3 linked regions of the Arabidopsis thaliana genome follow. The protein of the gene in region 3 interacts with the protein of the main gene of each other region in a biochemical or structural test. Each region holds a gene or a part of one and is shown on either strand. Other genes may lie near its edges. The genes, in order: DPA, DPB and E2F3.

Region 1 (3,754 bases), on a different chromosome or scaffold from region 3:
TGTGCCCCCAGTGAGTGTAACAAAATTAATACTATTTTTTATGTATAGTTATTTATCCATTGAAGTAGGATTATGCGTCATCATCAGTGTTTAGTATACATCGGCCTACGAATTTAATTAACTAATCCAGCTTTGTTGACTATCTAAGTGTATTATAAATTCTAAAACAATCGAATCAAAGAGTTTGAGGATAACTACGAGGACAACATATTTTTTACTTTAAAAAAAAAAAATGCATTTTGAGTCAGTTTTATGAGTATCATATTAGCTTGTTGATGTATTTCACCATGTCAGTTTTTAATTTATGAAGGCGAGTAATGATTGTGTAAAAACAATTTTGGGCAAACATAGGAAAAATATAAAAAACATATTAAATTTCCAAAATTAAATAAATAGTCTATTACTCTACTAGATTTCAGATGTTAAGAAAGAAAAAGCTACTGGAATAAATACGCATACCATATGATACGGTAACATTATTTTGTTTATTGTATGTTCAGTTCCTCAAGGGACACTTGAACATTATGAATAATATATTTACTGCAATAGATATAATTGTTTATGTGATATAAACGAAAGTTGACAAAAAAAGAAGACTAATTAAAGAGTAGAATTAGTGAACCAAAAAAAAGAGAAGAAAGAATCAAACATGACTTTAAAAACTCAATAATTGAGATCTGAGAAGACATTGAAGATGACCCCAAAAAGATATTGGGAGTTGCCACCTCTCATCTCCCAAAACAACGACAGATATACAAACAGCAAACAAACATTTAAATAGATCACACTATTTCTTTTTTTTGTAATGACAAAACATATATTTATATATTCTGACAACACATAGAAACATCAAAGTAAACAAATCAAATTTGAAGTTATATTGTTTCAAAATCTTATGATAGTGCATAGCTATGAATAGCATGAGGAATTGATTAGTCCATACCGGTCTGATTAAGGTATACGAGAAGGAAGGTATACATAAAGGTTAAACAAAAAAAGAGGTGAAGAAGAGAAACATGGCTAGTGAAACTCTAAACGGTTGGAAATGATGATGAAGCAATGAGTAAGAGAATGACTCTCCGCAATCAAGCAGCGTAGGAACTAGGAACAGCTTTGGTTCTCATGGCCATGCTCCAAACTTTCTTATCAACTCGAACTAGTTAAAACTACAAACAAAATAATTTAATTTAATCTTCATATGGAGAGAAAAAAAACAATCATGGAGAACAAGTGGCAAGTACCAAGTGGTTGCAATTATCATAAACATATCCTTTTTCAAACTTTAAAGCTTTTAATCGGTTAACAACTTGAACAAACAGTTATGCTGAAATTTATCATATAGTTTTCAGTACTATACGAGTACGATCATCGTATAAAGAAGAAAAAGAAAAAGGATCAAGCAACTATGCATATATTCTTTCGATCTAGTGAAAGTGCAACGCAACCTTCTCACACGTTGCAGGCTTAAAGCACTAACGTGTAAAACTATAAGCATCTTAGAAAAGAAATAAAAAGTATATGAGAATAGTGAGTTTTTTTTTTTAATAGTTACAAGTTGATGATACGGACCATGTCTTATATATAAGACGAAAAAATCATAAACTTTATAAGCTAGCGATAATGTTTTCAATAACTTAAATGCATACGTACCAAACATTTTTTCAAGATTCAGTGAACTTAATATTATTATTTTTTAAACAATTGGATCGAATACAAACACAACTGTCAACATATGTAATAGAGACAGCCAAATTTTCATTATTTATTTGGTAACGTTATCGATTATCAAAGAGTTTAATACGTGATCGATTTTAGACATATAATTAGCCCAACGGGCTTAAAATTACAAAGAGTTACAAAAGGCCCATTTAAATCCCCCGCCAAAGTTGAAAAACGACACCGTAGCGGTTGGGTTCGAACACAGAGAGTGCGTGTGTTTTGTTTTTGTTGAGGCTTTTGATGGGCTATGGAGAATTCTGTGTTTGTTTGTTGTTACAGTTTGTTTGTTTGTTTATAGCGGGAACTCTCACCCAAAGTAATTTCATCTCCGATTTTTTTTTTTTGGTTGTTGTTCGCATCTCTGTGTAATAAAAAGAGTAAAACCAAAACCCTAGAAAAAAAATCTCCATCTTTTTTTATTCCGCCATTGGAAGATCGATCACTGGTTCGTTCTTTGATCTTTTGAAACGGATTCGAGCTTTAGCCTTTATTTCTCTGAACTAGGGTTTTCTTCACCATCGTTAGATCTAATCCAACTGGTTGATGATTCCCATTTCATAAATTTTGTTTAGCTTTTGTTAAAAAATTGAAATTGGAGCTGTCAACAATTTAGGGTTTTTTAGATTGTGTCTATTGATTCATCGGTTTTAGTCAACGATGGATTTGAGACATGAACAACTAATTGATTTGATTTCGTGTAGCTAACTTTGTTAATTGGTAAATTGTGTAGAGAAGGATGAGTATGGAGATGGAGTTGTTTGTCACTCCAGAGAAGCAGAGGCAACATCCTTCAGTGAGCGTTGAGAAAACTCCAGTGAGAAGGAAATTGATTGTTGATGATGATTCTGAAATTGGGTCAGTGTTAATTATTCTTCTTACTCACAAAGTCTCTGGTTTTTTTACTTGGAGCTAAAATGTCTGTATTGAATTTGTGTTTAAAAGATCAGAGAAGAAAGGGCAATCAAGAACTTCTGGAGGCGGGCTTCGTCAATTCAGTGTTATGGGTCAGTGATATATCTCTCTTAGCTCAAACATGCCTGAAGTGAAAGTATTGTTGTTTTGCTGATTTTGATTTAACTTCACACAGTTTGTCAGAAGTTGGAAGCCAAGAAGATAACTACTTACAAGGAGGTATTACTCTCTTTGTTCCATTAAGGAATTGGTGATGTAATCAATGAGTTTTCAGTTTAAGACGCATTAGAATTGATCTTTATATGAACAAGTATTCACTTCAAGAAGCAATCCTCTAAGTTAGTTGTTGAGCATTGTCTCAAATTCTTCTTCTAATCAGGAGTCTTGCCCTTATATAGAGGCATTGTATCAGAAAATGTGAAAATCTACGTTTGAGACTGTGGCTCTTGTGATTCCAGGTTGCAGACGAAATTATTTCAGATTTTGCCACAATTAAGCAAAACGCAGAGAAGCCTTTGAATGAAAATGAGGTATAGCGAGATGGAAAGCTCATATCATCTGTCTTGAGTTATTTGGAAAAAAAAAAAGCTATAACAACATTCTCTTATGTTCAATCAGTACAATGAGAAGAACATAAGGCGGAGAGTCTACGATGCGCTCAATGTGTTCATGGCGTTGGATATTATTGCAAGGGATAAAAAGGAAATCCGGTGGAAAGGACTTCCTATTACCTGCAAAAAGGATGTGGAAGAAGTCAAGGTTTAGCTTCCAAGCTTTTCCTTTCAGTTATCTCATCTATGTAATTGCTCTCTCTCTTCGTCTTCTCTACTAATCTCTCTACCTCTATTTGCAGATGGATCGTAATAAAGTTATGAGCAGTGTGCAAAAGAAGGCTGCTTTTCTTAAAGAGTTGAGAGAAAAGGTGATCTTCTTTCTGTTTGATGGAAAATTTAAATACAAGACTCTCTTAGAATTTGAGATCTTGTTATGCATGTCAATAGATGACAAAAGTTATTGATATTGCAGGTTTTCTAGAATCCATAGATACGTCGTGTATTGAATCATTTTATGTTGTCTTAATGAAATGTTAAACCGTCTTTCTACGTTTTGCTTATAATGTTAC
Region 2 (3,754 bases), on a different chromosome or scaffold from region 3:
TTGATTCCCATATTCTTTTTGGTCCAGAAAATCTGTTTCCCTTCCATTGAAGTGGTTTGCTGTTGGGCAGTGTTGGAGATATGAGAGAATGACACGAGGAAGGCGACGTGAGCATTACCAGTGGAATATGGATATTATTGGTGTGCCTGAAGTTACAGTATGTATCTCTCATACCTTTAATCACTTTAGGCCTTCTAGTTTTTTGTTATATGAACCTGATCTGTGTTTAAAGTCTCTATAAGCCGGCTAATTTGGTTCACAAACCTTTTCTTTTAGGCTGAAGCAGAACTAATTTCATCTATAATGACATTCTTCAAGCGAATTGGAATCACTGCATCAGATGTGGGTTTTAAGGTTTCAAGCCGCAAGGTATTTTTGCTTACGTTCTCTTTTGATGTGATATGATCATTTTGTTTCTTGGTTTACACTCTAGATACAGAACCAAGTAACTCACTTGCAATGCTAAACATGAGTTGAGATTATTTTGCACGATCTGCAGCATCTGAATATCCACTGTAGCTAACATCTCCCATAACTTCTTCCTTGTACAGGTTTTACAAGAATTTTTAAAAAAGTATGGTGTACCCGAAGACCTGTTTGGAAGAGTTTGCTTCATTATAGACAAGGTTAGCAATCTAAACATCAATTAACAGCTGCTTTGTTGCCAGAATTGGGACAAGAAGTAGAGAACATCGTGTGTGCTTTGGACAAAGATCTCCAAGGAGCTGCAACCACCATTGCAACCGCTCTTAAAGACAAAGGGCAAACCGTTGATTTAGTATTGGAGAGTAAACCGCTGAAATGGGTGTTCAAGAGAGCGGCTCGGGTAAACGCAAGAAGGCCGGTTCTGGTTGGGAAGTTGGTTCGGTCAGTGTCAAGGTTTTGTCTTCAGGTGAGCAATTTCAAGTCAAACTTGATGACTTGGAGTAGTAGTATCTAAGGCTTGAACAAATTGTTCAATTGTCCTTTTTTTCAAAAGCAATTGAGTTGAGATTGGATTTTTATTTTGTCCTCAAAGGTTTCATTAAGAATTTTATTGATGGATCTTCAATACTCGTTTATTCGTCTAATAGTGATTTACAAAATATACTTTTTGACTTCGAATCAGCCACATGTGGCATGTGATTTTTATTTCAAACCGAGAAATGCTAAAAAGAAAAGAAAATGTGCCTTTCGTGAACCTTAAGCTACATTATCACATAATCTTCGGAACTAGAAAAACTCTTTTGCTCCAGTTTTAGTAATGAAAGAGGATGAACATGATATGTTTATATTTCCTAAAAGCTCAAATCTTATCAACACTAGAATGAGTAAATTTCATATAATGAAAATTCATATCGAATGTGATTGACTAGTGGTATCAACCACACATGTTTTTAACTTTTTGACTTGATCATCCATCTACATTATGATGTATCAATGTATGTTTTTTATATTTGTTTTCATGCTTATTAAAGCCATATAAACATATTTTGGTAGATAATTCCAGTATTTAGCCAACAAAAGAAGAAGACGAAGATAATTTTAGTGTTTAGCCAAAATAAAAATAAAAAGATAATTCCAGTATTATATTCTGATTAACAAAAGACCTAAATTTCACTAAAGAGAATTAATCTTTTGGTAAAATAAAAAAAAAGTAAAGAAAATTATCTTCTTTAACTTTTTGTTTTTTTTTCACCTATGAGTCAGTTTGGTCCCTCTCTCTCTCTCTCATTGTGGACATCTTTTCACCATCGCACAAATAACAAGCCTCCCAACCCCGATCGACTTATCCTCCTCCTTCTCCGGCGAAATCCATTAACTCTCCGCCGCGAAAACCACCTTTCCAGAGTAGTATCACACTAAGAATTCTAATGTTGATCCGCCATTATTGAAGCTTCTAATTCTCGTTAATAACCAAAAACCCAAGTCGATTTTCAAGGTCAGTACTCAAAATCTGGGTTTTCGTCAAAATCAGAAACTTTCCTTGACAAATTTTAACAAATCTCTTTCTCGTTTTCTATTGAATTCTCCAGTAGCGCGGTAGTTAGTTTTAGGTGGAAGAAGAATGACAACTACTGGGTCTAATTCTAATCACAACCACCATGAAAGCAATAATAACAACAATAACCCTAGTACTAGGTCTTGGGGCACGGCGGTTTCAGGTCAATCTGTGTCTACTAGCGGCAGTATGGGCTCTCCGTCGAGCCGGAGTGAGCAAACCATCACCGTTGTTACATCTACTAGCGACACTACTTTTCAACGCCTGAATAATTTGGACATTCAAGGTGATGATGCTGGTTCTCAAGGAGCTTCTGGGTATGTAAACCACCTCAATTCTGTGATTTTTATATTAAAAGGCTTTGATGTGTTTATTGTGATGTTTGGTTTAGCGATTTTTAGGGTTTTCATTCTATTGCAATGGCTGCTTTTATGAGCTTAATGAATATATGAAACTGAACCAGTAGATGTAAGTATGATGTGTGGATCATACTTTTACAAGCTTGAATTTGGCTCTCCTGATATGTATTAGTCTAAAATCTACTAATAATCTGCATATTTGAATACTCATCTTTCCTATCCTTATTGGGACAAAAGATACTGTTTAGGCCATTGTCTTTGTGCGTTAATTTTTGTGTGGAAGTTGTTACATGTGTTCTGTGTAGTTTAGTTGATCATATAATCTATTTACAGTGTTAAGAAGAAGAAGAGGGGACAGCGTGCGGCTGGTCCAGATAAGACTGGAAGAGGACTACGTCAATTTAGTATGAAAGGTCTTATCTCTTTCTCTGCCCCTATTATGCTTTCATCTAAATGCCTTTCAAGTTTCTAGCTATGAATTGTGTGGATAATGCCTCTTAAGATTGGTTATACATTTAACTGATATTATGTTCGTCTGGCCTTCCTTTCAGTTTGTGAAAAGGTGGAAAGCAAAGGAAGGACAACTTACAATGAGGTACGGTAGTTTCCTTTTTAAACAAAAAGCTTCACAGTATTTATGCTTTGCAAGATCCATTCACTTCTGTTTATGTTATATGATGATACTGATTTATTGTGCTTACCAGTGTGATTAAACACTTGTCAAGATCACATATGGGAATATCAATTTGTCTCATGATTAGTACTGCAAACGTGTAGCTCTGTAATACGGTATCTAACAGGTGATAGTACTTTCAGGTTGCAGACGAGCTTGTTGCTGAATTTGCACTTCCAAATAACGATGGAACATCCCCTGATCAGGTATGCGTTTCTTCGATAGTTTCTACCCTGGAACGTGTGCAATACTCGTTGTGAACTCTGATGAAATTATATCATGTGAAAACGTTTTACCAGCAACAGTATGATGAGAAAAACATAAGACGAAGAGTATATGATGCTTTAAACGTCCTCATGGCTATGGATATAATATCCAAGGATAAAAAAGAAATTCAATGGAGAGGTCTTCCTCGGACAAGCTTAAGCGACATTGAAGAATTAAAGGTTTCAACCACATATTCTATGTGCAGATGTTCCATAGCTTGTTTAGAGAATTTTCCTGAATTTGAATTATTTTGTTTTGCAGAACGAACGACTCTCACTTAGGAACAGAATTGAGAAGAAAACTGCATATTCCCAAGAACTGGAAGAACAAGTAATGAACATCATCGATACTCTCGGCTTATCTGCTTCCTGTTACTTTTATCATAGATTCTTACATGGTCCTTCTATCATCTCTGTGTATGTCTGAAAGTATGTAGGCCTTCAGAATCTGATACAGAGAAATGAGCACTTATAT
Region 3 (3,754 bases):
TTACTTCGAGAAGTTAGGATTCTCGCGGCGGAGCGCCACCGCGATGTTTAAGAGATTCCCGCAGCTGTTTAATTACAGTATTGCTGAGAATTATGAGCCGAAGTTGAAGTATTTGATGGTGGAGATGGGGAGAGATGTTAGAGAGGTTCTTGAGTTTCCTCAGTATTTCTCGTTTAGTTTGGAGAATCGGATTAAACCGAGACATGAAGCTTGTGCTGCGAAAGGTGTGAGGTTTCCATTGCCGGTGATGTTGAAGACTAATGAAGCTGGTTTTAGAGATACATTGGAGGTATGTTGTGATTCTTCTCCGCCATTGAAGACCTCTCGCCTTGTTACTGTACAAAAAGATTCTTGATTTATAGAGTTTTGTGTGCTAGGAGAACATGGAAGCAAGTGAGTGAGAGTTTCTTGCTTTTTGTTGTTGTTTTTTTGTTTAATGGAGTTGGAGAATTGGTGAGAATTGATGGGGTTTGCTTTGTTTTTAGGTACATTTTTGTAATGAATGATGATGAAGAACTCAATGAATGAAGAAACCAGCCTCTGCCTACATTTTGAGACACACACAGGGATGGTGAGTTAAATCTTGATAAGAGAAAGAATGTTCATTTACAATTCACGATTCCGATGTATTTCGGTCTAGTTATTGTTAGTGAACGAGAAATCAAGTGTATGTAAGTCCAGAAACCGTGTAGAGTTGCGATTTGCAGAGAATTGTGATTCTACAATTGGAGGCAAGATGATGAATGTGTGAACTGATTAGCGTAACGGTTTAGTTATTGGTCTTAAGTCTTAACAGGGAGAATTGGTTCTAGAGCTTTTAGTCCCTTTGATGGTTCGTGAAATGCCAGTGGTCTATGATCGGATTCTCTGTTTCCGTTCTCCTTCTTTTTTTGGGCCTTAAATCCGTTTTTATTGGGCTTCAACTTGATAACGACTTTACATTCTCTCGGCTCAAATGGGGTACACTCGTAATGAACATGAATGAACTTAAGGTACTACAATACAACAATGCCTCACACTCTCTAAGTGAACCATTTTTCTTGTGACCTGTAATAAGCTAACGGCGCAGGACAAGAAAAAAGCGGTACGAAAACTTTGCCAATCTAGGTCTTTACCAATTTCTATTTACCCTTTCTAACTATTTTCTATCACTCATTTGTCGTTAATACTAATTAATGACATCAATCATGTGCAATATTATAGTCCTCCAAATACTGAATTGAATTATGAATCCTTCATCAAGTGACTTTAGACTTAATCTACACTTCGCATCAGTTTTTCCACTGCCATACATGATACAACAACCACTAATCAATACAAAAGGATAAAAAATAAAAATAAAAATATTATTACACATATCATAACGGAAACAGCAGCACATGTACTATAAACAAACTCTATCCCAATCTATTTGCAGAAATCTGTTTACCGACTACACACATTTAAATAAAAATTTCAGATTCAAAAAACAAGTTCTAGATCAAAAATATATATGCATGATCTCCTCTTCTTCACCATTATAAAGAACAGAAAAGAATCTCAATATTCCCGTTACTAAAAGGCACAAAAAGTAATTTCCCTAAAGTAAGTAGGGTCAATCTAAAACTAAATACAAAATCCCGGGGCACAAATAGAAAGAAAAAAAAGTATATATTTATTTCCTTAACATTTTATTTATTATTGCTATAGGCTTCCCTCCACATCTATCCCAACATAAAATTCCCTCCTTCCCTCGTTTTCTGCTCTCTCCTTTTCTTTTCTTCTTCCTCTTTCTCTCACTAAAACCCTTGTTTCCTTCACTCGCCGTCGCTTTTCCCGTCATCGGAATCTTCAAATTCGACTCTCGCTTCACTACGATCCATGTCCGGTGTCGTACGATCTTCTCCCGGTTCTTCTCAGCCGCCACCGCCGCCGCCGCACCATCCACCGTCATCTCCGGTTCCGGTTACATCTACGCCGGTTATACCACCTATACGTCGTCACTTAGCTTTCGCCTCAACAAAACCTCCGTTTCATCCTTCCGATGATTACCATCGATTTAACCCTTCTTCGCTCAGTAATAATAACGACAGGAGCTTCGTTCATGGTTGTGGTGTTGTAGATCGGGAGGAAGATGCTGTCGTTGTTAGATCTCCTGTGAGTTTTGGGTGCTTTTGATTCTTCGATTTAGAGATTTTCCCCAGTGAGATTGGTTTAGAAATTCGAGGATGTTTTGGGGATTTCGATTGCTACTTGTTGCTTCTAAGTCTGATTCAAAAGCTTCGCAGCGTTAGATTATCGTCGATTCGTGTCAATTTTTGTCGTTTGTTTAGCTTCGCGATGGTACATTTTGCTCATAACACTGCGTTTCAATTACACCCAATTGACGCAAATCAGACATCAATTTCTCCAATTGCCATGCCAAATTGGCTCTGATTGTTGCGTGAGGTGTTGAATGTTCACATAGTGTTGAGCATTAGCTTATTGATATCAAAGTATTGGTGTATGAAGCTTGACATTGTTTGTTAATGTATAATGTTTCAAGTAGATCCCAATGTTGTGAAAGTTTATGAGGAATGATATAGATAATTTGTGTGTGGATGCTTTAAAACCTTTTGGATGATATTTCTTTGACCAACTTCTTTAAGCTAATAACAACTTGTTTATATGCAGTCACGAAAGAGAAAGGCGACAATGGATATGGTTGTTGCTCCATCTAATAATGGATTCACGAGTTCTGGTTTCACTAACATACCTAGCAGTCCCTGTCAAACTCCTAGAAAAGGGGGCAGAGTCAACATCAAGTCAAAGGCCAAAGGAAACAAGTCAACTCCTCAAACACCCATCTCGACAAACGCTGGTAAGAAGAATTGTATTCTTGACTCTCTACCCCTTTTGGCCTTTCTATATAGTTAGATCCTTTTATGAAATATCTTTCATGTCTAGAGTAACAAGTAAGTCGAAGAGCTGATTACTTTCCTGGTCAACTTGCAGGTTCTCCTATCACACTTACTCCATCAGGAAGTTGTCGTTATGACAGTTCTTTAGGTAATTAACAACTTTTCACATATATATTTAATATTCGATACATGTTATAGTGTATATGAAGATGCTGACATAAAAGCTGTTCAGGTCTCCTTACAAAAAAGTTCGTCAATCTAATTAAACAAGCCAAAGATGGAATGCTGGACCTAAACAAAGCTGCAGAAACATTGGAGGTGCAGAAACGACGTATATATGATATTACAAACGTTTTGGAGGGGATAGATCTCATTGAAAAGCCTTTCAAGAATCGAATACTTTGGAAGTGAGGATTTTTATGATATAGTATGCTTATGTATTTTGTACTGAAAGCATATCCTGCTTCATTGGGATATTACTGAAAGCATTTAACTACATGTAAACTCACTTGATGATCAATAAACTTGATTAGGGGAGTTGATGCGTGTCCTGGCGATGAGGATGCTGACGTATCTGTATTACAGGTGTAGTGAAACAGCATACACTCAAAAGTCATTGTGCATGTAAATCTTAAAATATCATGTAGTTCTCGCTTCCTTTGATTAATGTTCTTGTTTTGTAGCTGCAGGCAGAAATTGAAAACCTCGCCCTCGAAGAGCAAGCATTAGACAACCAAATCAGGTAAGCATTCATTTAAAGAGTTTTGGGTTATTGTGATTAATCTATTTAACCAATGCTGACGCTTTAACAACTTTTATTCAGACAAACAGAGGAAAGATTAAGAGACCTGAGCGAAAATGAAAAGAATCAGAAG

The links.
Region 1: the proteins of E2F3 (region 3) and DPA form a complex in vitro, tested with the Arabidopsis thaliana proteins (one study listed by BioGRID).
Region 2: the proteins of E2F3 (region 3) and DPB form a complex in vitro, tested with the Arabidopsis thaliana proteins (one study listed by BioGRID).

Annotation. Positions count from the first base shown.
Region 1 is NC_003076.8:543,125-546,878, reverse strand, and holds the start of DPA (Transcription factor DP), read left to right. Parts: upstream 1-1,923; 5' UTR 1,924-2,164; exon of another isoform or gene 2,165-2,449; 5' UTR 2,450-2,455; coding exon 2,456-2,574; intron 2,575-2,661; coding exon 2,662-2,723; intron 2,724-2,806; coding exon 2,807-2,850; intron 2,851-3,089; coding exon 3,090-3,161; intron 3,162-3,249; coding exon 3,250-3,390; intron 3,391-3,484; coding exon 3,485-3,553; intron 3,554-3,754. UniProt on the Arabidopsis thaliana protein: Involved in the regulation of the G1/S transition. Increases the DNA binding and the transactivation activities of E2F proteins after heterodimerization. The complex DPA/E2FA promotes cell division and acts as a regulator of the endocycle.
Region 2 is NC_003076.8:840,795-844,548, forward strand, and holds the start of DPB (Transcription factor DP), read left to right. Parts: upstream 1-1,693; 5' UTR 1,694-1,921; intron 1,922-2,015; 5' UTR 2,016-2,047; coding exon 2,048-2,298; intron 2,299-2,673; coding exon 2,674-2,753; intron 2,754-2,891; coding exon 2,892-2,935; intron 2,936-3,156; coding exon 3,157-3,219; intron 3,220-3,312; coding exon 3,313-3,459; intron 3,460-3,541; coding exon 3,542-3,610; intron 3,611-3,709; coding exon 3,710-3,754. Other genes in the region: AT5G03406 (Class II aaRS and biotin synthetases superfamily protein), read left to right, coding at 28-157, 277-369, 552-650. UniProt on the Arabidopsis thaliana protein: Involved in the regulation of the G1/S transition. Increases the DNA binding activity of E2F proteins after heterodimerization.
Region 3 is NC_003071.7:15,117,828-15,121,581, forward strand, and holds the start of E2F3 (E2F transcription factor 3), read left to right. Parts: upstream 1-1,761; 5' UTR 1,762-1,860; coding exon 1,861-2,136; intron 2,137-2,172; coding exon 2,173-2,322; intron 2,323-2,652; coding exon 2,653-2,839; intron 2,840-2,891; coding exon 2,892-2,933; intron 2,934-2,973; coding exon of another isoform or gene 2,974-3,027; intron 3,028-3,111; coding exon 3,112-3,286; intron 3,287-3,412; coding exon 3,413-3,464; intron 3,465-3,562; coding exon 3,563-3,621; intron 3,622-3,702; coding exon of another isoform or gene 3,703-3,753; intron 3,754-3,754. Other genes in the region: EMB3114 (Mitochondrial transcription termination factor family protein), read left to right, coding at 1-355. UniProt on the Arabidopsis thaliana protein: Transcription activator that binds DNA cooperatively with DP proteins through the E2 recognition site, 5'-TTTC[CG]CGC-3' found in the promoter region of a number of genes whose products are involved in cell cycle regulation or in DNA replication.